Linked DNA regions of Nothobranchius furzeri. The protein of the gene in region 5 binds, or shares a complex with, the protein of the main gene of each other region. Links are inferred from orthologs where the notes say so. Each region holds a gene or a part of one and is shown on either strand. Other genes may lie near its edges. The genes, in order: cc2d2a, tmem17, tmem107l, ahi1, tmem216, mks1 and tmem231.

The links.
Region 1: tmem216 (region 5) and cc2d2a share a complex: the UniProt entries of both Homo sapiens proteins name them as parts of the tectonic-like complex. The link is inferred for Nothobranchius furzeri from reciprocal best matches to the Homo sapiens genes TMEM216 and CC2D2A.
Region 2: tmem216 (region 5) and tmem17 share a complex: the UniProt entries of both Homo sapiens proteins name them as parts of the tectonic-like complex. The link is inferred for Nothobranchius furzeri from reciprocal best matches to the Homo sapiens genes TMEM216 and TMEM17.
Region 3: tmem216 (region 5) and tmem107l share a complex: the UniProt entries of both Homo sapiens proteins name them as parts of the tectonic-like complex. The link is inferred for Nothobranchius furzeri from reciprocal best matches to the Homo sapiens genes TMEM216 and TMEM107.
Region 4: tmem216 (region 5) and ahi1 share a complex: the UniProt entries of both Homo sapiens proteins name them as parts of the tectonic-like complex. The link is inferred for Nothobranchius furzeri from reciprocal best matches to the Homo sapiens genes TMEM216 and AHI1.
Region 6: tmem216 (region 5) and mks1 share a complex: the UniProt entries of both Homo sapiens proteins name them as parts of the tectonic-like complex. The link is inferred for Nothobranchius furzeri from reciprocal best matches to the Homo sapiens genes TMEM216 and MKS1.
Region 7: tmem216 (region 5) and tmem231 share a complex: the UniProt entries of both Homo sapiens proteins name them as parts of the tectonic-like complex. The link is inferred for Nothobranchius furzeri from reciprocal best matches to the Homo sapiens genes TMEM216 and TMEM231.

What each region holds. Positions count from the first base shown.
Region 1 is NC_091748.1:39,034,630-39,038,129, reverse strand, and holds part of cc2d2a (coiled-coil and C2 domain-containing protein 2A), read right to left. Parts: intron 3,412-3,500; coding exon 3,220-3,411; intron 3,136-3,219; coding exon 3,029-3,135; intron 2,895-3,028; coding exon 2,754-2,894; intron 2,586-2,753; coding exon 2,429-2,585; intron 2,311-2,428; coding exon 2,039-2,310; intron 1,893-2,038; coding exon 1,715-1,892; intron 1,311-1,714; coding exon 1,157-1,310; intron 1-1,156. UniProt on the Homo sapiens protein: Component of the tectonic-like complex, a complex localized at the transition zone of primary cilia and acting as a barrier that prevents diffusion of transmembrane proteins between the cilia and plasma membranes.
Region 2 is NC_091744.1:77,713,092-77,716,635, forward strand, and holds tmem17 (transmembrane protein 17B), read left to right. Parts: upstream 1-1,197; 5' UTR 1,198-1,280; coding exon 1,281-1,395; intron 1,396-1,530; coding exon 1,531-1,634; intron 1,635-1,837; coding exon 1,838-1,951; intron 1,952-2,028; coding exon 2,029-2,172; intron 2,173-2,308; coding exon 2,309-2,386; 3' UTR 2,387-3,044; downstream 3,045-3,544. Other genes in the region: agbl2 (cytosolic carboxypeptidase 2), read right to left, coding at 3,059-3,227, 3,315-3,345, 3,417-3,544. UniProt on the Homo sapiens protein: Transmembrane component of the tectonic-like complex, a complex localized at the transition zone of primary cilia and acting as a barrier that prevents diffusion of transmembrane proteins between the cilia and plasma membranes.
Region 3 is NC_091745.1:78,310,947-78,315,116, forward strand, and holds the start of tmem107l (transmembrane protein 107), read right to left. Parts: upstream 2,801-4,170; 5' UTR 2,494-2,800; coding exon 2,407-2,493; intron 774-2,406; coding exon 706-773; intron 633-705; coding exon 532-632; intron 1-531. UniProt on the Homo sapiens protein: Plays a role in cilia formation and embryonic patterning. Requires for normal Sonic hedgehog (Shh) signaling in the neural tube and acts in combination with GLI2 and GLI3 to pattern ventral and intermediate neuronal cell types.
Region 4 is NC_091758.1:20,120,883-20,124,998, reverse strand, and holds the start of ahi1 (jouberin), read right to left. Parts: upstream 2,801-4,116; 5' UTR 2,383-2,800; coding exon 2,376-2,382; intron 1,679-2,375; coding exon 1,569-1,678; intron 1,347-1,568; coding exon 775-1,346; intron 682-774; coding exon 596-681; intron 522-595; coding exon 335-521; intron 206-334; coding exon 13-205; intron 1-12. UniProt on the Homo sapiens protein: Involved in vesicle trafficking and required for ciliogenesis, formation of primary non-motile cilium, and recruitment of RAB8A to the basal body of primary cilium.
Region 5 is NC_091741.1:65,725,063-65,729,110, reverse strand, and holds the start of tmem216 (transmembrane protein 216), read right to left. Parts: upstream 2,801-4,048; 5' UTR 2,779-2,800; coding exon 2,724-2,778; intron 2,190-2,723; coding exon 2,176-2,189; intron 2,109-2,175; coding exon 2,015-2,108; intron 1,796-2,014; coding exon 1,703-1,795; intron 1-1,702. UniProt on the Homo sapiens protein: Part of the tectonic-like complex which is required for tissue-specific ciliogenesis and may regulate ciliary membrane composition.
Region 6 is NC_091750.1:66,889,933-66,893,563, reverse strand, and holds the end of mks1 (tectonic-like complex member MKS1), read right to left. Parts: intron 3,475-3,631; coding exon 3,432-3,474; intron 3,343-3,431; coding exon 3,280-3,342; intron 3,203-3,279; coding exon 3,132-3,202; intron 3,057-3,131; coding exon 2,987-3,056; intron 2,908-2,986; coding exon 2,800-2,907; intron 2,282-2,799; coding exon 2,148-2,281; intron 1,934-2,147; coding exon 1,851-1,933; intron 1,608-1,850; coding exon 1,510-1,607; intron 938-1,509; coding exon 834-937; 3' UTR 501-833; downstream 1-500. UniProt on the Homo sapiens protein: Component of the tectonic-like complex, a complex localized at the transition zone of primary cilia and acting as a barrier that prevents diffusion of transmembrane proteins between the cilia and plasma membranes.
Region 7 is NC_091744.1:86,205,128-86,208,237, reverse strand, and holds the end of tmem231 (transmembrane protein 231), read right to left. Parts: intron 2,133-3,110; coding exon 1,989-2,132; intron 1,563-1,988; coding exon 1,481-1,562; intron 1,379-1,480; coding exon 1,273-1,378; intron 1,134-1,272; coding exon 971-1,133; 3' UTR 501-970; downstream 1-500. UniProt on the Homo sapiens protein: Transmembrane component of the tectonic-like complex, a complex localized at the transition zone of primary cilia and acting as a barrier that prevents diffusion of transmembrane proteins between the cilia and plasma membranes.

The DNA.
Region 1 (3,500 bases), on a different chromosome or scaffold from region 5:
CAACACTAATCTAAAACACTAGCAGCTCATGTAAGTGCTATTTCATAAACATTTACATCACCATATATTTTATATTAAACAGCTATTCACATCAAACTCAGCGGTGACTCTAAAACTAAGGAGACCAGTTTCTTCCTGGCTTGAATTTATGACATTTCAGCCAGAAAATACTTCAAATGTGAAAAATGATGGCATGGTAAAGGTTATAAAATAGCATCTGCATAAACTGCTGTGAAGTTTTAGGAACGTTTGTAAATGTTTAGTCAAAACCAATCTCTGTTACTCCTAACTGAAGCTGTTCATAGCTACAAGTAAGACGTCGATCGATCGTAACATTTCAACAAAACCTCGCTTTAAGAGACTTGAACTACTGCTTAGTTCAATCATTTCTGACAGTCCTAAACTATAAATCTGCAAGTTTTAAGATCTTTCAGACTCTGCCTTCATTTTTGAAAGTTCTCATTCAATCATTTGTTCTATAAATCTGCCGAGGCCTACAGTATGGATTAAAATGTTGTATGCTGTTTAGTGTAGAAGCTGTGTGTGTGTGTGGGTGGGTGGCGCAGCAGGATTTGGAGACTTACTCATTAATATTCATGATATGCCAACATCTTGCCTCTGATTGGCTAACAGTAACTTGACTCTTCTGCTGCCTTCAATCCTTCTTCTTACTTGGGTAACAAATGATGATTTCTCTCCACAAACAACACAAGCCTGAAGAGGTTCTGCCACGTTGTGAAGATGCTAATGATTAGCTTCTACTAGCTGACATGTGCTCTGCTCTCTCCTGGATGCTAAATCAATACAGCTTTTCTGTGGGTGGTGGCAAGCCAAGAAGGGCGAGGCAGTTTTCCCCTGTGACGTAGATCTGTACGGCTTTACCACACAGTCTGTTTTCTATCGGCAGAGTAATGCAGGAAATAGGGGTAGAAACTATTTTCATGATCAGCTTGCATGTGAAACTCAGCATGACAGACTGTTTCCAAAAACAAGTATTATAGTTTCTCAGTGAACGAGAACTTTAAGGACACTGCACACCATAGTTGACTGAAAATGATCCTGTTAGTAAATCTTAACAGGAACACTTGTTGGGAACAGGAATGTTACACGGCACTGTACATATGCGAGTGAAGCAGAAATGAACAACAGTATTTACCACTTCCTACTCCTTCATGATCAAACATGACTCTTTGGTTGCTGCTAAACTCAAACGTCTCCACAGGAGCGCTGCCTGTAACCACTGAGGGTTCTGGTACCGGAACAAACACCTGAGCCAGGAGGGAGGAGGATGATCCAATCTGCTCAAACACCTGCACACAACACACACACGCACACACACACACACACACACACACACACACACACACACACACACACACACACACACACACACACACACACACACACACGCAGACACACACACACACACACACACACACACACACACACACACACACACACACACACACGCACACACACACACACGCAGACACACACACACACACACACACACACACACACACGCAGACACACACACACACACACGCACACACACACACACACACACACACACACACACACACACGCACACACACACACACACACACACACACACACACACACACACACACACACACACACAGAACTGATGAGAAACAGACTGCAGCTGCAGCAGTAACAACCTTGCGGTGCATTCAGAGTTCCTCTACTCCACCTGCAGATTCATGCTCTGGGGACAGTTAAGGATCTTGAGGTGGAACAGCTGGGTGAACTGCACCCTGAAGTCAGATCTCAGGGAGCAGCTGCCTGTTCGGGAAACTTCCTTGTCATTGTACAGGACTTTGATGAAAAGCGATCGCTTGGAAACATCTTCTCTTCGAGCAACCTCAGCCCTTAAACGAGAGAGCATAACAAACAGGATAAAAGCATGTAAAGTACTACAATAAGCAGTCTTCTCATGCCATCGACTAACATTTCCATAAATACATGAAACGTGCCAGTTAAAGGGGTGTTGCAGTTTGTGATGAATACGGTTTACCTGGGACAGAGTTCACTGGGTGTGATGCTTCCTGATGCAGACAGCTCTGGGGTCAGAATGACCTCTCCTGGCTTCCTGCGTATCCTCGAGGCTTTTTCTCTCACCCATTGCTCTATGGAGTCAAAGTCCGGCCTCTCGGGGGGTTCTGGTTTAGGAGGACCTTCCTCAAAGGGTCCTTCTGATTCGCTCCCTTCCTGGTCTTGATCTTCCTCGTCTGTATCATCCTGTGTCTGACCTCGTTTCTTCTTCTTTTTCTTCTTCTTTTTGGCTTTCTGAAAACATGGGATATAAAAATATGTGCAAAAATAAATATGCAATCCTACAAGAACAAGGCTGGCCTTATTTTACTCCACGGTGTTTGTGATGGTTCCAGCAGCAGTAGTCAGACACCTGCTTCTTCCTCCAGCGCTTCCACTCCTCCTGCTGTTTCTTGTACTCTGCCAGCTTCTTCTGGTAGTCCTCCTCATGCTCTGCCTCTATCTCCAAAGCTTCTGTCAGGATTTCCTCCTCGTACATGTGCTCATCTGCAGCCAGGTCCACGTTCTCTCTGAAGCATCAAGAAACAAAGCAGCACATTTATGGTATGAATAGAAAACCTTTCAGACTGCTGCAATAAGTATAATTAACATAATTCTGTTAAGATTTATAATAGAAAACTGAAGGAAATTTCTAAATGATGTTTTCAGTCAGGGTTGGCTGGAACAGGAGAGCTTACCTTCTGAGGTAGAGCTTGTATGGTGTGTTAGTAAATGTCTGAAATTCTCTCAGAGCTTTGATCTCCTTCCACACTTTGATGATGTTCTTTAGCAGAGTTCTGTCCTTCTCCTGCTCCATATCTCTCAGGTGTCGAGTATTCCTGGAACGTTCATGGGAAACTCTGCCAACTCTGTCCAACATGTTTCTGGACATATTAGGATCTAATGGGCCACTCCCATCGGTCCCGGGTCGGCCCGGTACCGATGGGAGTGGCCCATAAATGAGCCACCTCACCTCACTTCAAGGCTGTACTCAAAAATCCTCCTCTGAAGGGCCTGAGGGAGGTCCTGATCACCGTGGACCTTCACCACATTCCTCAAAGCATTCCTTAAACCATTCAACTAAAGCGGACACAAACACTCAGCTGTGTCAAAGCATTGTGGTACGGCCGTGGTAACCTCTCCACAGTATCTGGTGAAGTCTACCTTGTCAGTGAGGTGTCCTGAGAGATTACTCTGCCTCCTGGTGAGATACTGGTCGAACAGGTGAGCTAGACGAGCTGCCAGCACGTGTTCACGGCTGAAGAGAGGGTGATGGGAGAAGATCAGCCCCGACACATTGACATCGATCTGGTAGTCCCCCGTGGGGTCTGATGAACCGTACATGGACTTCAGCGGCTGAGAGACAGCAGAGATAACAACATTATCCAGCATTCGCTGCACAACAAAACTCTCAGCATTTGTTTTTAACTGCATGTCTGTTTGTG
Region 2 (3,544 bases), on a different chromosome or scaffold from region 5:
TCTTCATCAGCTTTGAACACATGTAGCTGGACAGAGAATCAGCTGCCTCTCTTGTTGCAGCCATCCTAGTTTCTGCTAGAGCGGGAGTGGCTTCACACACAATCAGTAATTTTCATTTTCTCTTAAAGCAAAAAAACAACAACTATGAAACAGGTTTTTTCCTCCTCCTGGTGTTATTTGCCTGACTTGTATAACTAAAAAAAACTTACTGAGCATGGTTCCCATAAGTATGGAAGCCCATTCCTGCCACTCTGATTAAAAAAATGTATCTCATAATTATGACTTACCTATCTCATAATAACAAGACACAATCTCATTATTTAGGGATAGCGTCTCATAATTATGAGATACTATCTATTCATTTCAGCCCCACATCTCATCACGTAGGGTGGAAATTAATCATTAAATGGTATGAATGGTTTGATTAATTAAATTTCATGAACTATTTTTTACTGATTCAAGACTTTGTTAACCCTCCCACTGTCTTTATGGGTGACCCCGCGAGGAAAGTTGACCATAAAGCAGGATTGATGGTTTATCCCTTGAGGTCCACGTGGCAGGGGTGAGGTGGTGCTCACTCCTCACCCCTGCCACGTGGACCCAAGGGATAAACCATCAACCCTGCTCAATGGTCAACTTTCCTCGTGGGGTCACACCCATTAGGACAGTGGGAGGGTTTAAATATGTGCACCAAATTTTACTGGTGCAGAGAGGGAGGGAACTAGACAACACCTATTGAATACATACTATTTTTACATACACATTTTTTGCAGAAAGCCACAATTTTGTTTCACTTAAAACATTGTCAAAGAGAATCAACAGAGGGTTCGATAGAATGTTCGAATACTAAAATGTTCGATAGCTGCAACCCTAGTATCACTATAATGAGATAGCTAGTAAAAATTATGATGCTGTCTCATAGTAACTAATTATTCTGAGACATAAAGCCATATCAAATGCTATCTCATAATAATGAAATGAGATATTTTTTAATGAGTAGCGTTAATCAGCTTCCATAAATATTATTTGAGCTACACATTATACTCTCCCCCCTATCTAGTCTCGCTTTTTAAATTTTTATTATCAATGTAGTTAAAATCTGGGAAGTTTTGAAAACGCAAAAGGAGACACGTTTTGCTTCTGGCCTTTCACTTTCTCTCACCCCCACTACCATCAATGGTTACCATGGAAACGACGGTGGCTTTCACGACGGAGCTAGTAGGAAAAAGCGGAAGTGTTTCTCCTCTGGTCATGTTGTTTTTAGCCTGATTTTCTTTGCAATGGAGCTGCCGGAGACAGTTAGGAGGCGCTTAGAAGATTTTTCTCGGAATGTTTTATTCGACCAGACTCGTAATGAGCCGTTCTCAAAACACAACGACTCGTTTATACCTCACGGTAAAAAAAAAAAACAAAAACACAAGCTAACTATGAAGTCGAGTTAGCATGGATGTTAGCATGGATGTGTGTAGCCTTGTTACTTTACCATACCGATTTTAGTTAGTTCCCCTCATTTTTTTTGTATGTGTTTAGACAAACGGGTTCTGTCCAGCCTCCAGCTCCAGATGTCTTTGTACTTTAACACGTGGTTCTTCCCGTTCTGGTGGATCAGTGAAGCTGTGATGCTTCACCTCAAGGTACGAGGTTGGTGGATGGAAGCCGCGAGCAGAAAACCCAGAAAGAAAGAAAAATCCCAAATATCTAAGCTAGATTTAGGATACTTTGGTGCTTAAGTATGGATATGTATTAAACTATAGCAATTCATTTTAGAATCAGATTTTTCATGTATGTTTTGAAGCTTCCAACACAACAAGAATGCTGATGGTAGTTGTTCTTGCAGTATCCTGCCCTTCCAAATTACTACAAGTTTGTCCTTGTGACTGTTCTTCTACTGATGACTCTGATTGAGGCCATCAGACTTTATCTTGGTTACTCTGGAAACCTGCAAGAAAAGGTGAGACCATCTCAGATGACATGATACAGGTGCTGAATGCAGGGTGGGGTTTGAATGTAATTTCTGATCTGTGGAAGGTTCCAGAGTTGGCCGGCTTTTGGCTGCTGAGCATCCTGCTGCAGTTTCCACTCATTCTTTTTCAACTTTTTAATGAAGCCATAATCATACTGCCCTTGGAGAGAGGTGTCCACATAGTTCTTGCCATATTTATCCTCACACAGGTATGACTGGATTCTCAGCTCCATTTTACGTGGCAAATGCACCTAAATACACATGTTATTGTGTTTTCTCAAATTTGAGATCAAGTAATTGTGACTGATTGTAATCTGTTTTTTTTTTGTTTTCTGATTGATCCAGGCTGTCTTTGGTTTTGTGGCCCTGCGGGAAATGGTTAGACACACAGGAAGCCAGTTTCATCTCCAACAGTTTGACTGACGTCCACATATGTTCTGGTGTTCCATTTGATCAGGATTTATTCTTACTTCATACCTCCCAGTCTCAAATGACAAAAACTATGTATTTGCATATAGGATTTGGTACACTTTCTTCACACAATTTTAAATTTAATGCTAAAAAATAATAGAAAATATTTATTTTTGTATTTTGTTCCACTTGTATCATTGCTTTTGTAAATTTGAAGTAAATCATGTTTACTTGACTCACTCTGTACTGTTAGTTAGCATCTGGTTTAGATTTGTTGACCATTTAGTTATTTTTTAATTACAAAAGAAATTTTTGTACAAAGTTACCGACATTTACGCTGCTCTTTGTTCAGGAGCTTTTTGCTTCAGAGGGACTGAAACGTTCTGACCAAAACAGAAAGTTTCAACAAAATTCATGAAACACCCAAGTGCTTTATTTTATTTTATATTTTTTACAACATTTATTTTCATGTACTGAAAATATTATTTGAGAAATCATGAGATTGCATTAGAATAATCAGAAGAATTAAAGCATGTTATTGTCACAAGACGAAGAGATAAGTGAGATTTGGTATAAAACGTATGTGTTTTTCTGTTAGATCTTCCCAATGAAGCATCATTGTCACAAAAATAACTTGTTCTATTAAAATGCAGCTGAACTTTGAGAAGAATCCTGGCACCCGTTTCACTGCTTTGTCTTGATTAGGTTTGTGTTTGATGTGGAGGACGCCTGAAGACAAGATCTGTTTCTAAAACGATGCCGACTGCTGGTATTGGTGGAGGTGAAACTCGTCAGCGGCTGGTTTTTTGGAACAACAGCTGGAGCCATGCTGGTAGACAAAGATGGGGGACATCTGCCATGAAAGCAACACAGCATACAAAAATTATGAACACACAACACACCCTTTTGTAATAAACTATAATCTATCCATGAAGTTTACCTGCCAGGTGCTGCAAAAGGAGATGTCAGCCCTGAAAGAAGAAGGTGGTTCGCATTAGGCAAAAACCGATGGAGACTTTAAGCTGCTGTTCAAGAAACAAACCTCTGCAGACTTGAGAGTGGGAAAGAGATTGGCGCAGAGGGAAACGCTGGTGCTGCGCAGAGGGAATGAAAGTTGGAGGAAGTGGAAGGAGAGCACTCAGGTGTAGTAGCTGAGAGGAGCATTTCCAC
Region 3 (4,170 bases), on a different chromosome or scaffold from region 5:
AAACTGTCAGTGTCGTGCCGTTGTCAGGTAAAAACTCTGCACTGCATTTGAATTTAAATCTGCCATCGCTATTGGCTAAGAGGTACCCTAGAACGTTAGCTGGTACCATATGATGTCACAGTGTCGTTGTGAGCCTGTGTGTGTGTGTGTATTTCTTAGCAAAACTATTGACACTCATTTATATAGTTAATCAGCAAAAAAAAAAGTTAATTTGGGAGTGACTAGCTTTTTAATAACAAATTCACTCATCCTTACTCTTTAACCTATAACAAACCTTTATTTTATAGTAATTTGGGTTTTATTCAGCTATTCCGTTTGTCTTTTAGAGAGAACCGACCAAGTGGGAGAGAGCTAAGCTAGTTATCCACTAGCTGCTGCTGCTGCGTGTTCTTTGTGTTACAGCCTTAACCAGAAGTCGCTTTACTGTTGAATATTAAAGGTCATATATGTATATATATATATATATATATATATATATATATATATATATATATATATATATATATTTCATTAAGGATGAGTAAAGGATACACAGGAGACCCTGAGTGCTGTTGAACATAGACACTCCTGAAAAGAAGCCAGCCAGCTCGATTACAAACAGACCAAGTGTGACTGCCAGCGCCACCACCAGCCTGGAGGGAACAAAAGAGATCATTTAATCCGAGAACCTGATAATACGAGTGTGTTACATACATATCTACTCACTTTTTGTCTTCGGTATCATACTGCTCTGGTGTGAAATCCAGTGGTAAACATGCTTTTACATTATTTTCCTATAAAAAGAAAAACAATTGCAAATTATTTCAAGGGCTGAATAATCTGGATGTGATGTTGACCGTAGAGCAGTGGTGTCCATCCCTGCACCTCGAGGGCCCCTATCCAGCATGTTTCAGTGGTTTCTCTGCTCTGCTGTTTTTAACCAAGAGGTGATTAGGGTTGTCACGGTAACCGGTGTAGCGGTAAACCCCGGTAAAAAAGTTGACAATAATAATAACCGTCTTGTTTTTTTAAAAACTATATTATCTCGGTGGATTACCGTGGCTGCGGTGTAGGCGCGGTGACCCTTACCAGCCACCGTATCATCTGCTGAAGTTGCCGGCGGCACATGCGCACTTTGTTGTTTACAACCAAAACTTTCTTGAAGCTAAAGCTGAAATAACGGACAAAGGAGGAGACGGCAGCACTCAGGACATTTATTATCGCTCTAAGAAGACAAAGTCAGAAGTACGGGCATTTTTTTATACCAGAAGAATGCCGAGGGAAAGCTGATAGAAGACGGCTATCCTGTTTGCAGCACGAGCAGAAAAAGTGTCTGTGAAAGGCAGCAACGCTTCAAATCTCATGACACATCTGCGTGACCATCACCCACAACTCTACAGTCAACGCAAGGCAAGCTAACGTTAGCGCTTTAGCTAAAATGCGTGATCCGAGGATTTGGGTTGAGGGAGAACGCAACGAGTCGCTATATAAAGCAGCCGCAGCGCCGCTACCTGCATATAAACCGTGTCGCGGACACCGCCATGTTGAAATGACGCTATGCATTACGGGGCTCCCAGGGGCAGATAAGAGTTGGTCTCTCTCCGAGAATAATTATGAATTTAACAACGATTACTGCCTGATGCCATTTTCCCACATCTGCAAAGCTCACTGGAAGGACACAAACCGAGGACAATATTTTCCTGATATAGGGTTTATTACTCAAGTAAGGGTAAAAAGTATCTGATTAGAAGGCTACTTGAGTACTGAGTATCATCTGGTCTAATATTTTTAAAATGATGACATCAAACAGACATAAAATAAGAAAAGTTATGGGCAAATATTGGTATTTTAAAGACTTAAGGGGAAATATGTAAACAAATAAACAACATAATTACAAAATAACACATTTTAGGCAAAATTTAGACACAAACTGAGGACAATATTTTCCTGATATACAGGGTTTATTTAGTTTCCTGAAAATGTAACACGTTTAAAACAATACCACGATAATACCGAAAACCGTGATAATTTTGGTCACAATAACCGTGAGGTTAAATTTTCACACCGTGACAACCCTAGAGGTGATTAACAGCTTCTGCAGACCTAATCATGCTAAACAGGTGACTCAACCATTGAATCAGGTGTGTTTGGGCAGGGAAACAACCAGAACATGCTGGTTAGGGGTCAATGAGGACACTTCCTGGAACTTAAATGACGTTTTATAACACAACAAGGAATATGTTTTAATTACCTTTGATGTTTAAGCAGAATTTCTAACAATGTGTTTGTGTGTTCACCTTTGTGGTATTTCATATAACAGCAACGTCTAATAAAACCACAGATCTAAAATCCCATAAAGTTTTCTCCATTATGAAAATAAAATCAGGCACAAGAAATCAGATTAAAGATAAACCATTTTTTTCTTACCCTTGACCAAAAGATGGTGATAACAATGACAAGATGAGCTGTGATGGTGAGAAACCGAGCAGGAACAAGGCTGCTGATGGCCGACATGGTGATCCTAATCAGCAAAGTAAAACTCTAAAAGCTCGTGAGTAAAAAAAAGAGTAAAAGGTTTTTGTTTACTGCGACGGAAACCACTCAGTAAGCTAGGCTAGCATGTAGCTAAATGTGCTAACTTTAAACGAACACTTTAGCATCTGTTTATCTTGCGGCTAATGACATAAACCAGCTGATTCATTTGTTTGTTTAAAAACTCGCGAAGTCTATAGCTTAGTTTTGTGTCTCGTTCGTTAACAGAGCCAAAAACTTCACGTTGTGACGCAACTAACGGTTGCTACAACAACCACGGACAATGTGCATACGGTTTTAATGACCGGACAAAAAAACGAACACCTAAACGGTTCCGCGTTGACCATGAACGCGTCACGTAAAAGAGTTTTTAATCAGCAGTAAATAATATAAAACAGAGAAACCCAAACATCTTATTTAGTAACGGTGGGTAGTCAGCGCGTTTCATTTTTCCTGGTCAGAGTTAGTAAAAGAGGTGTAGCTTGACGTGTAGCTGGATATTTATTTATTTATTTATTTATTATTTATTTGTTTATTTATTTGCTTTTTTTATTCATCAATACTGCGATCTGATGGTAACACCTGATGTCTTTTCATTTTTATCATAAAAATGCTTAAAACTACCCGAAAATTCAGGTTCCCCGAAAAAAAAAACAAGACAAAATGAAAGAAATAGAAAGGGCCACCAGATCCGTTCGCTGTTGGATAAAACGGTTTTATTTTTAAAAAGACAAACAACAACCGCATGTTTAATTGGAATTGGCAGGATAAACGTGCCTGTAAAACAAAACAGCGCAATAAGAAACGAATGTGTTTCTGTTAGATGGTCTGAGCCAGAGATTTCCCACCCCCATCCCACCAGTGGACTCTTCCCCCGAGGCAGACTGAACCGATCCAGCGTGCGTGAGCAGCGGAGCGGCACCAGCCAAGGCCCGGGCTTTGCCTCGCGGCCAGGAGAAGAAGACAACCAGCCGGGGTTTTCTCCAGGAGATCCTTTTGAGTCGCTTAAATCGAGAAAGCATCATGGCCGAGTCGGAGTTCCAAACCTTTACTTCTATCATGGACGCGCTGGTTCGCATCAACGTGAGTATGACGCTGGCTTTATTAGTCACTTCAGCCATTTGTGCAGTTTCAGTCTGGATGTTTTAGCGGATTTCCCCCCATGTTTCAGATATGAAGCCATCTGCATACAGATGTGTCCAGCTGTGATGATGGAGCGTGCTAATTCCGTTTGGAGACATGATATCAGCGTCACAGTAAAGCTCTGGCACTGTGTAAATAACAACAAAACAACATTTAAAACGTGGAAGCTGAAGTTGATGCGTTTGATTTTTTTACTGTTGGACTAATTTAAATATGTTAGAAAATAGCACGAGAGGCGTTGGGCCGTGCACACGAAAAGACAGAGATGATGCTGGTTGTCATAGAAACGGGATGCTGCGCCCTCTAGCTGCAGTGATGGAAAAGAGCCACCACGTCCACGGAAACTGATTTTCATCATGCTTTTTTTCGTGAATTTAACATTTTTATTGTTTGTTAAACATTTGAGAGAAAATGTGAGCTAACTTCGTTACATATTTTCTTTCTGGTTATTCTAACTTTACACAGTTACTCTGTTCACTTGACAAGGCCGAACATAAGAGGCTTCAGATAAACACC
Region 4 (4,116 bases), on a different chromosome or scaffold from region 5:
AGTATATCTCACTTCAAAGAAGAGGATGACTCTGGGGCTTTCATCCTTTTGCTCAACAAAGTAGCCAAAGCGTTCGTTGAATATGATTAGCTCTTGCCACTCGGGGATGATGGATTTGTTCTTCTTGAAGTCAAAAGGCTGAGTCATGATAGGGAGGATATGGTCGACGTTCTGTCCCTCATAATAGGAAGACACAGGTCGATGGCTTCAAAACACAAACAGATTTCACTTTTAATTAAATGTTTGAGCATGAAAACATTTTTTTAAACTGTAGCCCAAATATTTTAACGCTGATAGGTGTAGCAGCATAAGATCAGAGATAACTTCTTCTCACCAGTCCCTTTTCTTCACATAATTGCCCGTGATCTCATCAACAACGTGGATCTTCACCATGGGGTGCGAGATCAGTAAGTCCGTCTTCAGGCGATCCGTTTTATGAACGAACACTCCCAGAACAAGACCGTCATCAAATGTCGGCTTTTGCTCCTCTGCTGCTTCAGCTTCACTTTCTTCTTTGACAACTAAAAAGTTGAGAAAAATAACTCATCAAAATCTCTTTTTATGTTACACAAATTACTTTGTTTTAAAAAACTACCGTGCTTCTTCTTCTTTTTCTTCTTTCCCTTTGATTCAGTTTTATTTTCCTCATCAGCATCTGGATTGACTTCCTCATCTTGATCCCTGATTAAAGAAAAAAAAAGTCAAAATGCTGCTTAAACTTTATTCTTGATATCAAAAACTACAATAAAGCTAAAATTAGAGAGAAATACACACCCTACATCTGACTCAGTTGTTACAGATTTCAGCTTTTTCTTTTTCTTCTTCCCCATATCATTATTCAACACAGCACTTTGTGAGTTAACAGTTTCCCGTTTGACCCTTGTTTTCTTCACAGTCAGCTCCTCTTCCTGTGCCATCTGCTGCTGGTATTCATGCAGTAGTTTATCTTCTGGATCCTCCACCGGACTCTCTGCAACATCTTCTACATTTTCTCTGACTTTTCCCTTCTTACTTTTTCCTTTTCGTTTCTTTTCACCAACAGCAGCTTCTGGATTCAAAGTATTGTCGGCTCTAGAAGCATTTGCCCCCTCCTGTAAGTCCTCTGGAATGTCTTTGGGTACAGGTAAAGAAGGGAGGTCCCTCTTACTCTTCCTTTTGGCTTTTGATGCTTTAACTTCTTCATCCTTGCTGTTGTTACAGTTAACCTGTTCTGCTGTTTCCTTTTCTCTTCGTTTGTTTTTGGAATAACGAGGGCTGCCCTGTTCAGGGTCATATGTGTTTTGCAGAATGGTTTCGTCATCTTCTGTGTCTTTCTCAAGGTTCAGCTTCCTGGTCAGATTCTGAAGCTTTGAAAAAAGAGATCGACAATAATAATACATGTGATTTATTAATATTTTAAATTGCTAGAACTGGTTCACATTAAAGAAAATAGAACATTCTTCTGTTGCAGATGCTTTCTATAATTATATTTCATAAATAACTCAAGTTTGAATACAACACTGCAGCCAGAATGTAGAACATTTGATGACAACCACTGGGTGGAAAACAGCACATGTCAGAACACCTACCACTATGGTCTCGTTTGCTTCATGGATTTTCTTCTTTGACTTTTTCTTCTCAGATCCTGAATATTTTTTGAAGACTTCATTAAATCTTTCCCGGGTCTCTTCACTCACACCTGGAAATGTTTATTTTTTGTTATCTATACAATTCTTGATTACAAAAGTTGCTTGAGATAAACACTTTAGAATCATTTGCTGAATTTGTAAGTGGTTGTAAAAAAACACTGATTACATATGGTAGTGGCCTGTAATAGTACGGCACCTTCTTAGGGTTCAACAACCCCCCAAGGCGCACCACAACACAATCAGTCATTCACACACACACATACACATGCTGGTGATGATGAGCAACAATGTAGCCACAGTTGCCTTGGGGCGCACTGACAGAAGGGGGACTGCTGAACACGGGCGCCACCGGTCTCTCCGACCACCACAAGATGGGTTAAGTGTCTTGCCCAACGACACAATTCTCTGGCGGGAGCTGGGATCAAACCTGCAACCTTCTGGATGCTGGACAACCTGCCCTACCTCCTGAGCTACTGCCAGCTTTGGTTTTGTTTGACTTCCATGAAAATACAAAACAACATCAAATAATCTGAGAGAATGTAATAAATTAAAAGGATTTTAATATTAATTTAACAATAACACTTAATATATATTTTTTATTTAGTGTAAAACTTTAATCTCTGGATTGGGTGGTCACTGAAAGATATTTGACTGGTTTACTAGTTATTAAATAATTTCTATATATTTTTTAATTGATTTATTCACAAAAATTGTTCTTTAGTCGCTTCAGGACAGCTGAACACTCACCTGGCATTTTCAAACATCGTGCTGTTTCTCATTCTGAGGGAAAAACGCCAATAATCCAGAAAAAAGCGTATCTAAAATACAAAGCAAAATGTCGCAGCTCACATTCGCGACTCTAAAGTGAGCATTAAGTTTCACTTAATGATACTAGAACGTGTCCGCTTAACGGAGACACACGAGATGTTTTATTAATAATATTTGTTAGCTATTTCACCAGAAGCTAGTTAGCTAGTTGCTAGCTAAATTGCTCTGGTCACGTACTACGCCTAAAAAAGTTATATCTTTGTTATTGAAATACATTATTGAACCAAAATATAACCATATAATTGTTTTTAATAAGTTAATGTGAGCTTTCTACTTGAAACTCCTTGTTTGAACGCGGGTTACGCTTAAACTGTCCTCTACCGCACAACGCCGTGATGGTTTCCAAGTCAACAACGTACGGGCGGAGCGACGTAGATAAACAAACAAAAATGTAACCAATGAAATTTAAGGACACGAGAACGCTATAGCACGTAATGAGTGTAGCTCCCCCCAAATGCTGCGTTCAAAGACGAACATAAACTTGGATTTTCCTAACTTATTGCAAGAGCTCAAAGCAAACAGTGTGGCTCACTTCTTTCTCCCACAAATTAGTCAGGATTAAATTTACTTATACGTTTCTACCCGTAAAATGCTATATTTTTAATTAAGATAAAAGTTGGAGAACACATACATTCATGGTTTACTTTTCGAGCTTTGTAACTTCAGTGAAGGATGAATTAAGAAAATTATCATGTCAGAGTATTCAAGTTGTCTTGAGCTATAGATTTTCTATTTGATACTTGCACAAATGTGTAAAGTGTCTGAACAGTTATATATACATTCCTAACACAAACTATAATTATGCATTACATAACAGTCTTGTGACTTTACAGGTGAGTCCTGCAGGTGAAGCAGACACAAGTGTCAGAACATTTCATGTGAAGAATCACGGCTTTTATGAGAGCTGCTCCAGGTTGCTCAGAGGACTTTTTGATCGTTTGAAGAGATTTTGGGGAGATGTTGAACAAAAAGTAAATGAAGTTTTCAGAGAAACCTTCAATGTACCTGCTTAAGGAACACACCTGAGATTGAAATATGAAATATGAAATAGGATTCAAATAGTAACACACTTATTTGATGATTAGCTCAAAATAAAAATAAAAACGTATTAATGAAAATACCAAAATATTTCAGATTTATGCAAAAAATGATCAATAAAACTTTAAAGGCGTCTCATGAGTTTTCCTTGTGAAACCCATCAGAATCGTGGGTTTATTAATTTATTTTCCATTTTAAGTTTATTCTCCATATATTTTCTGTAACAGCCATGTACAAAATCATTAAGGGCCGCACTTTGGGTACCCCTGATCTGAGATCTGCCCAGATTAGCTGCAAAAGGATTTTTGTTTAAATGAAAGGAAAAGCTGCAGAAATGTTCCATTAAAATCTCTGTTTTCATTTTCCAAAGTTCCTATTTAGATGCATGAGCATTTTCACATGACCCAAAGTCTTTGAGTAATTCAATCATAGATCGTCCAAGTATCAAAAAGAAGGAGCAGTTTGTACTAGTGAACATAATCCGGTCCGGGACTGGTTTGTGCTTTATGTTAGTTTTCTGAGGATTTTTAGACTAGATCTATGAGACAGGAGATTTGTGCTTTCTTCTTCTGCAGATGGACACATTTCATCGGTGCTGGCTAACAGCGAGCTGGAGGACTAG
Region 5 (4,048 bases):
TCAGAGCTGGTTTGGCTGCTTAGTCTTGTATCAGAGGTTTAAAGAGTTTACAGTAAACATTTCACTTCACGAGTTCTTCTCAGTAGCTCCTGCTGGATGACGTGTTCAGACACACACGTTCACACAAACTGAGACACTGACTTCTATGTTATAACTAATATAACTGTTCAGCTTCAGTTTTAATGATTGTGTTCAGTTATTTATCAAAGACAGTCTGGTGCAGGATTTTCACAGGGATTTAAAAACAAGTCCTTACATGTGCTGTAGAGCCATAATTAAATACATGTGTTGGGAGAGTTGATCACTGGGTTTCTGTTTTATTCCTCTTTTTGTTGTCATGGTGACGCAACAGGGGCCACATGGGTGCAGGTGGTCGCAATCAAAAGGAGCTGTCAGTCTGTCGCCTGGTGGTTTTACAGAGGAGGGATGGGTAGCCGTAGTTATTGTTGACCATTACAATTCAGTTCGTCTTACTTTGTTTACATGGTCACGTTATGTTTAGGGATTTGACCCAAATTAAGTTAAAGCCACCTGTAACAGTAAAAAGCTATAATAAATGGAGAAATGCATCCCATCTCTCTGTGGGTTCATGAGAAGCTGACAGCGCATCAAACAAATAGACCTGGGGCCTCATTTATCAAGCTTGCTTACACACAACACGGGGTCGGAAAACTGCGTAAGGAACTTTCCACGCAAACTTTGGGATTTATGAAAGAAAACTTAGCAGGAAAATGTGCGCAACTTTAAGTTGACTAAGGACCTTGCTTACACACATGTTGGACATGGAGAGCACCTGCAGTGCTGCCGAGAAGGATAAAATTATGAAATCCTGCAGCATTATCACTTGTACTGCTTCGTTTTCACACAGACAAGACCCCCACATGCACACACACACGCGCGCACACACACACAGCCTAAAGCGCAGAATACGGAATGCAGAATATCAGCAGGGGGACAGATCAAGACAGTGTGAGCGTCCTGTCACCGTGACCCGATTGATCATGCGCCCTGGCTACTTGTACAGGGGAGATTTCTGTTTGGGTGGCTGGTTAGCGTGCGTGACTTTCACCTGGGAGTCTGGGGATCGAATCCTGATTGGACAAAGTTTTTTATATCCGCCACAGATCTCTCTGAAGAATTCAAAACATTGATGGCTTCAGCAACATTGTGCCACTCCGTGGAATTTCTCTTGTTTTGCAAAAGCACTTCCTTTCATTTCTCCACCTCACCCACAAGTACCTGAATTTCTGCTTGTGAAATAGCGCTTCCTTGATCTGCGGTCGTGATCGAAATGCTGCAACAAGCCAGCTTATGTATATGCATGAGATCCACAAGGCACTTTGCATTGGCTATTTATGGCAGTAAGTGGCTGTGGTGAGGGCGGGATGTGACTAAAAAGCAGCTGAGAAACATTCTCGTTAGTCTCCGATTTATGAAGCGGAGATTGCGTGCAGCTGTGCGTCCTCCATGTTTGATAGATCACAAACCTGCTTGGCGTAAGTACTTTTTTTTTGCTGAGCTTAAGTACGGTTTTATTAAGGAATCTACGCAATGTCTGATAAATGAGACCCCTAGACCCATTCTCTGCCTCTATAGTGACTGTGGAAGTATGTGGTCACCCGGAGGAGGTGACGTATACATGCTCACAGAACTAGTAAACACTGATTTCTAAATACTCATGTTTGCTGTTTCTGTTCTTTACCATAAAAGATCCTCAGAGTCTCCAAACCGAGGAAGAGAAGGAGCAGAACCACGTCCAGAACCAGATTGTCTGATGGGTACGGCAACAAGATTCCTGCACAGACAAAATGGACCACATCTCTTTTTGGTTTCCACAGAGAAGGTTTCATCAAGGAGCTGTTTGGTTGCCAGGTGTTATCTCATGAACACTGAGGATTTATTTGAAAACTAAAGCAGATGAAGGCACAGTTGAGATGTGATTAATCATGGTTCCTCCTGAGTTTATAGTTTCTGCTGTTGTGAAAGTGGGAAATTTGGTAAATATGTCACAGACCTTTATAAATGAACATGAGGATCTCTGCCAGGTAGAAGGCAGCAAAGTACCAGCTGTTCAGGTACAGGAGCACCTGCAGAGGAGTGGATGAGAGCTGTACGAGAGACGGTCAAGGATAACAGCAGCAGGTAAAACATGAGCTGCCAGTTATATAAGGATACAACAGGCTGGCTTCCTGCAGAAGAGACAGAACCAAGCTCTCATTAACATCTGCAATTAGTATGCTGTAGGCTCAAAATCAGCATCAGTAAAATTACTGACTTACTACTGATGGATAAAATAGTAAAAGAAAAACAGTAGGGCTAAATGATGTAACTAGCTCTAAATGCTATTTATATAGAGAGAAAATCACTCATCTGGATCTTGCATCTATAAAATAATATTTTTGTTTACGTAAAAAAGCACGAAATACGTGTTTTCCACAATAAAAAGATTATTTGTTACTGCGTAGCTTTTAGGAGTAATACGCAGTAACGTGTTCGCTGATAAGTAATGTGTTGATTTTTAGGTCATCGCAGTTCGAGCAGACGCTTAGCTTCAGTTCACAGACAAGATAAACCTCGGCTGCCGTTTTCTTTAGCTTTTCCTCCAAACGGAAACGAAAACGTTACATTTCCCTTTTCATTTGGGTCCAAATAAACATCGCGACAGATTCAGACGGCGGACTTTTATTCGGTTTATAAGGAACAAACAACTGCATGAAACTCACCAGGCGCCATGTCTTGATTTCTGGTTGCTATGGATACCATAGACTTAGAACACATACACGCTGCTTTCTTTTATGTAATTTCGAAGCCGCCATATTGGAGAGGGAGACGGGCGAAGCAGACTCAGGCTTTTTGGAACGGCTTACAGCTAAAAGCCAGCAGATCTTTTACTACTCTAATCCCAATCCATACTCGAAGCATCAGTGGTACGGAACATCTCTGTTTAAAATTTAATCCATCCACACCGGTCGCAGTGCAGAACATTTTAGGCGCATCTCAGAAGTGACTCGCCTTCATGTTTTCTATTTTTTAAGATGTATTCAGATCATCACCCGTCTTCATTTGGTCAGGATGACCCTGAACAGTCTCCATCAGCTGCCTGCACTGCACTACAGACACTAACAGCAGGATTAAGACAAATCCCGATTCATTTCAATCTTTAGTTAGAAACGTGACGAAAACTAATTTTGTTTAATTGGTGTCTAACTGAAACTGGGCTTTACCTCTGTTTTGTGTTCATCAAAATATTTTTATTTCATATAAAAATTGTTCGTGATTAATAATCAAGTAATTTAGAAAATTTAGGCTATTTTTTATTTAGGCCTTTTTTTGTTGTTTGTTACTCATAAAATGTAATACAATCACCAGGGTAATCGATCGTTTCAGTATACTGAGCTTAAGATAATTTTGTGCTAGTTAAACCAAATCAATAAGAATGTATTGTTTTTAAAACTAAAAGAAACCAAACTCATTAGCTCAAAATTATTCACCAGTTGTATGTTTTTTTTAAATATATATTGTCTGTTTATTCCGACACTATTGTAATCGTAAAACGTTTAGGCTTGTAATGAATCAAAAAAGGAAAACTATATTTCACGCCATAAATGCATTATGCAGTCTGAGGATTTCAGTGCAGCTTCTACATTTTACATGTCTGTGTGCTTCCGGTCGCGCTGGTTTTTCTTTTTCGGTCCTCTTCATCATAAGGGCTGCACTACTGCCCCCTTTTGGATCTATCGAGTTTCTACAGTCTTTCACGTGCACCCGTGGATTAAAAACGGGTCTAATGTGTATGTCGATGGTCTAAACCTGTTTTGTTTTTTGTGTTTTCTGTAGAATATATAGTTACGTTAATAAAATATCAAATCAAGCTTTATTATTTTTCCCACAAATGAATCTATTATTCATCAAATAAAGAGCTAAAACAAAACAAAATTGGGTTATTCTATTTTTCATCTGAAGTAGCCTATTGGTTTTCTTTATAAATTCAAATTCATTCAGTCTATCATTTATCACCCAAAGATTGCAGGAGAAAATGTTTAATTGT
Region 6 (3,631 bases), on a different chromosome or scaffold from region 5:
CTATGTACGAAAAAAAGCATCAACACTCATTCCGCAGTAAACAGCCCCAAACAGTGAATCTAAATAACCACCAGGGTTTTAGTTTCAGAAAACCGATTTCAGTTTTCGTTTGAGCATTAGGCTAAATCTGACACAAAAAAGAGAAAAGCGACCAGCGGCCCAGTTCCCATCGCTACATGCCTACTAGAGATACGCTAAAGCAGCCATACATTGACTAAGACACACAATTTACACATCAAAAAATTACACGATTGCAAAATTAACGTGAAATATGTGTACTTAAGTACCTGGTCGTGTGTGAAACTGAGAGGGAAAATCGCTGAACGGTCCTTTCCCTGGTTGGAGGAAGATGGAGAATGGTGCGTTTACAGTCATGGAAAATTGGACTACTTCCCTTTGGAGCTAAAACGAATGCTACGTTGGAGGACAACCCGCAGTCAGATAATGCGGGTTTCAGTCCATTTGTTTTGTTTTAAAAATGGGGAAAATATACCACTTCATTGCATATTTAATTTTTATTTAGTTAACCTTTATTTCAGATAAGAAAAATAAACAGTAAAATAAATAATAAAAGAAAACAGTACCTTGAATTTTGTAAAAAAAAACTGCTGGTATTATAGTACATTTATTAGACAAGTGTTATGCTCCATCTCCTAATGTTGGTGTAATAAATCGTTTCTGATGATTTTTTAAGTTAATAACATTTGTCAATAAAATGTCAGTTACAGTCTGAGAAGAACAGAAGATGACTTGAGACAAACTTTTCAGTTTTGGAAGCTTGTGCAGGATCCTAAATGCATCTTGAAATGTCAGTTTTAGTGTGTTTTTGGTTTTTATGCAGAAAATTCCAGCTCGAGTTGGGAAGTAGAGTTGATGGCTTTTTGTGGGAACGTTTCTCTGGCCTCTTGTAGCTTTTTGTATGCTCTTTGAAAGGCCTCTGAAGGGAAATAAAACAAACAAACAGAAAATACAAATTAAATTAACCCTGCAGAAAAATTCCCTGTTCTTTCTACATTTTTGTCTACTTTGGGCAATCAAGCTGCAATGCAAGGCTTGGTATACAGTCCATAACATTTTGTGAGTGTCCTAACAAATCCATCTTCCAGTGGTTTGAAATAACGAGAATCTAAATGATAAATGACCCATAATTGTATAGCGCCTCTCAGAGTAAGGACTCCAAAGCGCTGTACACTACAGTGTATCATTCATCCATTCACACACACATTTACACACTGATGGTGATGAGCTACGATGTAGCCACAGCTGCCCTGACGCTCGCTGACAGAGGCTAACTGGTGGCATTATGCTAATTTTCACTCCCGCTATCATAAAATCATTTCATGGTAAAAATAATAAATGGTGGAACATTCAGAGCCTGATTACAGTAAACTTTTTCACTTAACCACACACACAGAACTCACAGCTCACACAAACAAGGATACACTCAGCAGCAAACAGGAAGTGAAAGTCTTTTAAACCCTGATGCAAATACTGTGTGAGTATGTTTACCCAGAACATTGCAAACATCTCCCTGCTGACTAAATCCTCCCAGCTGGTCGATGACTTTCTGCCTCCTCTTTTTCTGAATGGCAGCGTCAACAAAGGCCCTGAAACAACCAGAAGCGAACAGTAAACACTTTTTAAAAGTAAAGATGAAACAATTTGCATTAATAATACAGATCTTTGTGAAATTTGTAAATGGAACACTTGCATTTGCATTAAGAAATAGTGTTTTGCATGCAGTGCAGAGAGTAAATCTCACTTCTGATGTTTTATTCATTCCATATAAACTGTTAAGCTGTCAGGGAGAAAATCAGAAACAGCTGCTTGTTGATTAAACTGGTCTTTACCTGGCTTGTTGGATGCAGTTCAGATTAAATGTGACACTTCCTGAGGTTAGACTGCAGAAGCCCAAGCGACTCAGCCTGTCTCCCTGAAACCAGACACCATTGTACCAGATTAAGAATCATAATAATGCATTAATTTACTTGCTTGCTCAGGTATACACAGTTAACTTGGTGATAACGAAATAATGCTACAACTACCACAATGTATATTTTTAAAACATCATGTTTCACCCATTAAACCTTCAGGAGAAAATTTATGCAAAGGTTCAAAACCTGGAATTAGCTTAGCTGTGAGTGCACCTTGAAGGTCCCTGGTATTCTGACATAGCTGTGATCTTCAATCTCTGCAGAACCTCCGATAAAAAAGCGCCTCAATGCAGAGACCGTCCCCATCTGAAGAGGTCGCCATGTGTGACAGGTCATGGTGTGCTTACCTGGGATGCACCAGAAACAGAATATATGATGGAGATGAATGATGGAGCATGCAGAGGAATTATTATTAACTTTTCTGAACCATGTGAAGTTAAAAATCTTGCATATTTGAAATTGTTGGTATGAATTCATTTGTAGTACAATCTTTGGTGAATTATCTGAATATCTTTAAATTTTGTTTTTGAATGTTCAGTAGATAAAACTCAGTCAGGGGTGTCGAATCCTGGTCTTGGAGGGCCATCGTCCTACATGTTTTAGAGGTTTCCCTGCTTCAGCACTACTGATTTCAATCAGCAGGGGATTAGAAGGCTGATCAAACCATTTAATCTGGTACTTTGGAGCAGGGAAACAACTAAAACGTGCTAGGTAGGGTTTCTTGAGGAACAAGGGTGGACATCCCTGGACTAAAATAAAATAACACTTTTAAAGACAATTAAAAATAACAGTAATGTGAATCTAAAATCATCTAAATAATAAAGAAGTAAATTAGTCAATGAGTCTTATAGATGCAGCAGCATACCAGGAATAGCTGGAAAAAGCAGATAACCATAGCCTTCAATACGATAGCGCCCCCACAGGTCAAGAGAAAGAACTTTGAAGTAAAGCACTGGCCACTGGGGAATTAGCTCTGAAATTAAAAAAAGTGAAAACACTTAAATTTAGACTTTTAAATCACATCATTTCAAAATGAAAAGGCTCACGCTGACCTTCACTCTCTTTCTCACTCTTGTAAAAAATCTCAAAGTTGAAGGGGTAACTGAAGAAAGCCACATTTTCCTGTTGGCAGAGATCAACGTGTGTCAGTGTTCATGTTCTGAAGCAAGTAACCAGTTTCTTACGTCAAACACACACCTTCCCCAGTGATTTGGTTCGACAAGTCTGGGTAACCCCTGACAGAAACTGGGGCATTGAGCTGGACCAATCTAAAACAAAAAAGTTTACTAAGATCTCACTAAAACTAAATATCACAAATGAGTATCACAGACGGCTTGTTACTCACTATTGGGAAGATCCAGGACGAAGTGGACGTGTAAGTTATCATACTCAAATCCTTTAGCCGAGACTAAAGAGAAAAAGAGGGAAAAGAGAGAGTGGTAGTTTGAAAGTTGATGGGTAATCTAAAAAGATAGCGATCACAGCCGTCCTCCTCACCGATCTCTCCATCCATCAGGTAACGTAGCGTACCAACAGCGGGCTGGACAACAAACATCTGGTTAGCGAAAAATGTTTGCAAAGAAACAAACGTTCCCACTGGTTCATCTAATGCACTTTAATCAGTTACCAGCTCAGAGGCCTAGTGGTAGAGGGTCCGCCCTTGGACATCGGGGTTCAAACCCGGTCGGGTCGTACCA
Region 7 (3,110 bases), on a different chromosome or scaffold from region 5:
AACAGAATGTGTCAGGATTCCAGAAGACAAAGTAGAGAACGGAAATTAGCTGAATCAAGTCTTTAGTCTGCTGCATGAATTTTTTAAGAATCCACAACACTCTCAAAATGAAAACCAGAGCTGTCATCTTCACAGATTTATTTTATTTTAGGAGAGGCAGAGGATTATAGGATTTGGCTGCATTTACTTAGGCCTCAGTTCTCAACAGTCTCTTTCATTCTGCTTCTTAACAACCCCCACACCATAATGCTGCCACCACTGTGTTCACTATAGGGATAAGCCTGCTTACATGTTTGAAGTTTTGTCTGTGAAAATTAGTTTTTACATTATTTGACCACTGAATCTTTTTCATCAAGCACAAACACGTGATTAAAAACTAATCCTAGGAAAGAAGTTGTGCTTTAACAGCTTTAATACGAGAACTCCTATTTTACTCATGATAGTTCCAAACGACTCATTCCTTTCACACGTTGTTTAATAAATACCCAGTAAAGCTATAATAAGTTTAAAAAGTCTTTATTTTTGTCAAAACCAGTTTCAAATGTGTAAAAAAAAACAACAATATAGAAAATATATCCTTATGTTCTTTACAACTGAGCCGCTAAAATCAAACAAAATTTTTTTAATGATTTAAAAATAAGAAAAAAGTTGAAAAATCTACATAAGATGAAAAAAGTTACTAAACTGTTGAAACTCACGTAATTTAACATAGGATTTGTAATATCTACGATGTGTAAGTTGTTTTAATGTGACAAAGAAGAACAGTTTGTTCCCCGATGCAGATCAGGATGTATATGATCTTATAACAACATCTTTTAGAATGCTTAAGCCTACAGAATAAACAGATTAGACAATAACATATAGCTGAATCAACAACGAGAAGTCCAAAGAACAAACATTACAGACATGAAGCAAATTGACAAAAGGTGTCATCTGGTCAAAACCTAAAAGATAAACTTTCAGCTCTGCATCACGACAGGTGAGGTTTTCCTACAGGTATGGGTACGGTTGTTACAACCTGGTTCTGAAAGACAAATCTCTGGATGCGTTTGAAGACCCACAAGAAGATGAGGAGAACGCTGACATACTGGATCCAAGCAAACTTGATGGTTTCCCAGAAGCCAGGACGATAAGTGGAGGGAGGCAGTTAAGAAAACGTTAGAAGAATTATAACTCTGAGTCATGGTTTATGTAATCCGTCTCCTAAAGACGAAAAGGTAAATCAGTCACAAGACAACACCTTTTGGTGATCTTTTAGATATGAAAGGATATCTGATGAGCTCCAGCGGGTAGCGGATTTCAGCGTTAAGCTCAAAAGGTGAACCAGCAGCATGTCCTATAGTCCACACTGGCATTGGACAAGACAGCACAGTTGTTACTAAATAAAAAAGAAAAGACAATTATAAAATTATAAATACTTCATTATACAAAACCCGAGACCGTGGGCGTCGGCAGAGAATAAATCCCTCTGCTTACTTACCGTTTCTCTCCTGGTAGCTCCTGATAATGTTGCTGAGGTCATAGGAACTTGCAAAGGGGCTGGTGCCATCGATCACTGACACCTTTAGGTCAGTAAACACAAAAAATAATACTTTAACATATTAATTTAACATAGGGCTGCACAGTGGAGCAGTGGCTAGCGCTGTTGCCTTGCAGCAGGTCCTGGGTTCAAATCCCAACCTGAGGTCTTTCTGCATGGAGCTTGCATGTTCTCCCTGTGCATGTGTGGTGTCTCTGCGTACTCTGGCTTCCTCCCACAGTCTAAAAACACGACTGTCACGCTGATTGGTTTTCTAAACTGCCCGCAGGTGTGTGTGCATGGTTGTTTGTCCTGTGATGGACTGGAAACCTGTCCAGGGTGTACCCCGCCTACTTGCCCAGAGACTGCTGGAGATAGGCACCAGCCCCCCCACGACCCCGCATGGACAAGCGGGTATAGACAATGGATGGATAAATTAATATAAATAAGGAATAAACACTATTCTCACATTGTAGATGTTGTACAGGCCCCGATGAGGAAGCGGTGTCCTCTGCTGAAGCCTCAGGTCTCCACTGATGAACAGTTTAACTCCAGGTACAGGTGAGGAGTGCTGCACATAAGCCAGACTCTGCATCACCACTGTCGACATCCGCTAGCAGAAACCAGAGAAATAGAAATGCTCTGACTATTAAATTAAACAACAATAATTTAAAGGGACTTTTCGGACTTTTGAATTTTAATGCCTGCGATTGCCCCCTCAGGCCAAAAGCATAACAGCAGCTTCAGTAGTAGGCTCGTACACGAGGCGTGCACGCTGTACGTGCACACTCCTTAACGAAAATAACAGCTGAGACAGTCCCGTGTGTGTGTGTGTAGGTGTGTGTGTGTGGCCCGGAGGACAAAAGAACACACAGATAATTAATTAAATAATTTGGTTCTGTACCTTTCTCTTCAGCACAGCCGACAAAGGTTTATGACGGGTCAGTCCTCCTGCATGCTCAGATCATTCCCTTCCCTTGCTTGAAAAATTGTTCCAAAATGAAAGTTGAACCCACATCTTTTTTATCTGTGAATTCAATGCCGTTCAGCGAGTCTCAAATAAAAATTTGGGCATCTTACTGTAAAAAATATACCATTAATGTAAAAAATAAACTCTAAATAAACTATGTTCACATCCAGAATCAAACCCAGGTCTTCTGCACGAGAGTCAGATATCTTACAAGGTGAGCTACACTCTAGTAACATTCAGACTGTCTAACATTTATATCCTTGATGACAGCTGAAACAACGTTCAAAGAACGGTTCGGAGTGAAAATGGCTATTTTGTTGCTAATTAGCAGGAAATATCTAGAAGAAAGTTCTACAGAAAGTAGCTAAGGGTCCTCAGAAATGTAGCTAGCTTTGTCACTAGGCGTTAGGAACAGCGACAAAGTGGCACTGCCTCTCTCTCTGCTGCTAAAGCTACGGATAGCAAACGCTACGGGCGATGCCTGAGCGTGAACGCGCATGAAGCAGCCTGCTCGACCCGAGCATCTCTCTTTTTCTGTGATTTTACATAAAAACAGGCAATCACAGTAAAAATGCCAGGGCTCATTCTACAGGACCAGGGCATTGCAGGAGAATGTATGAA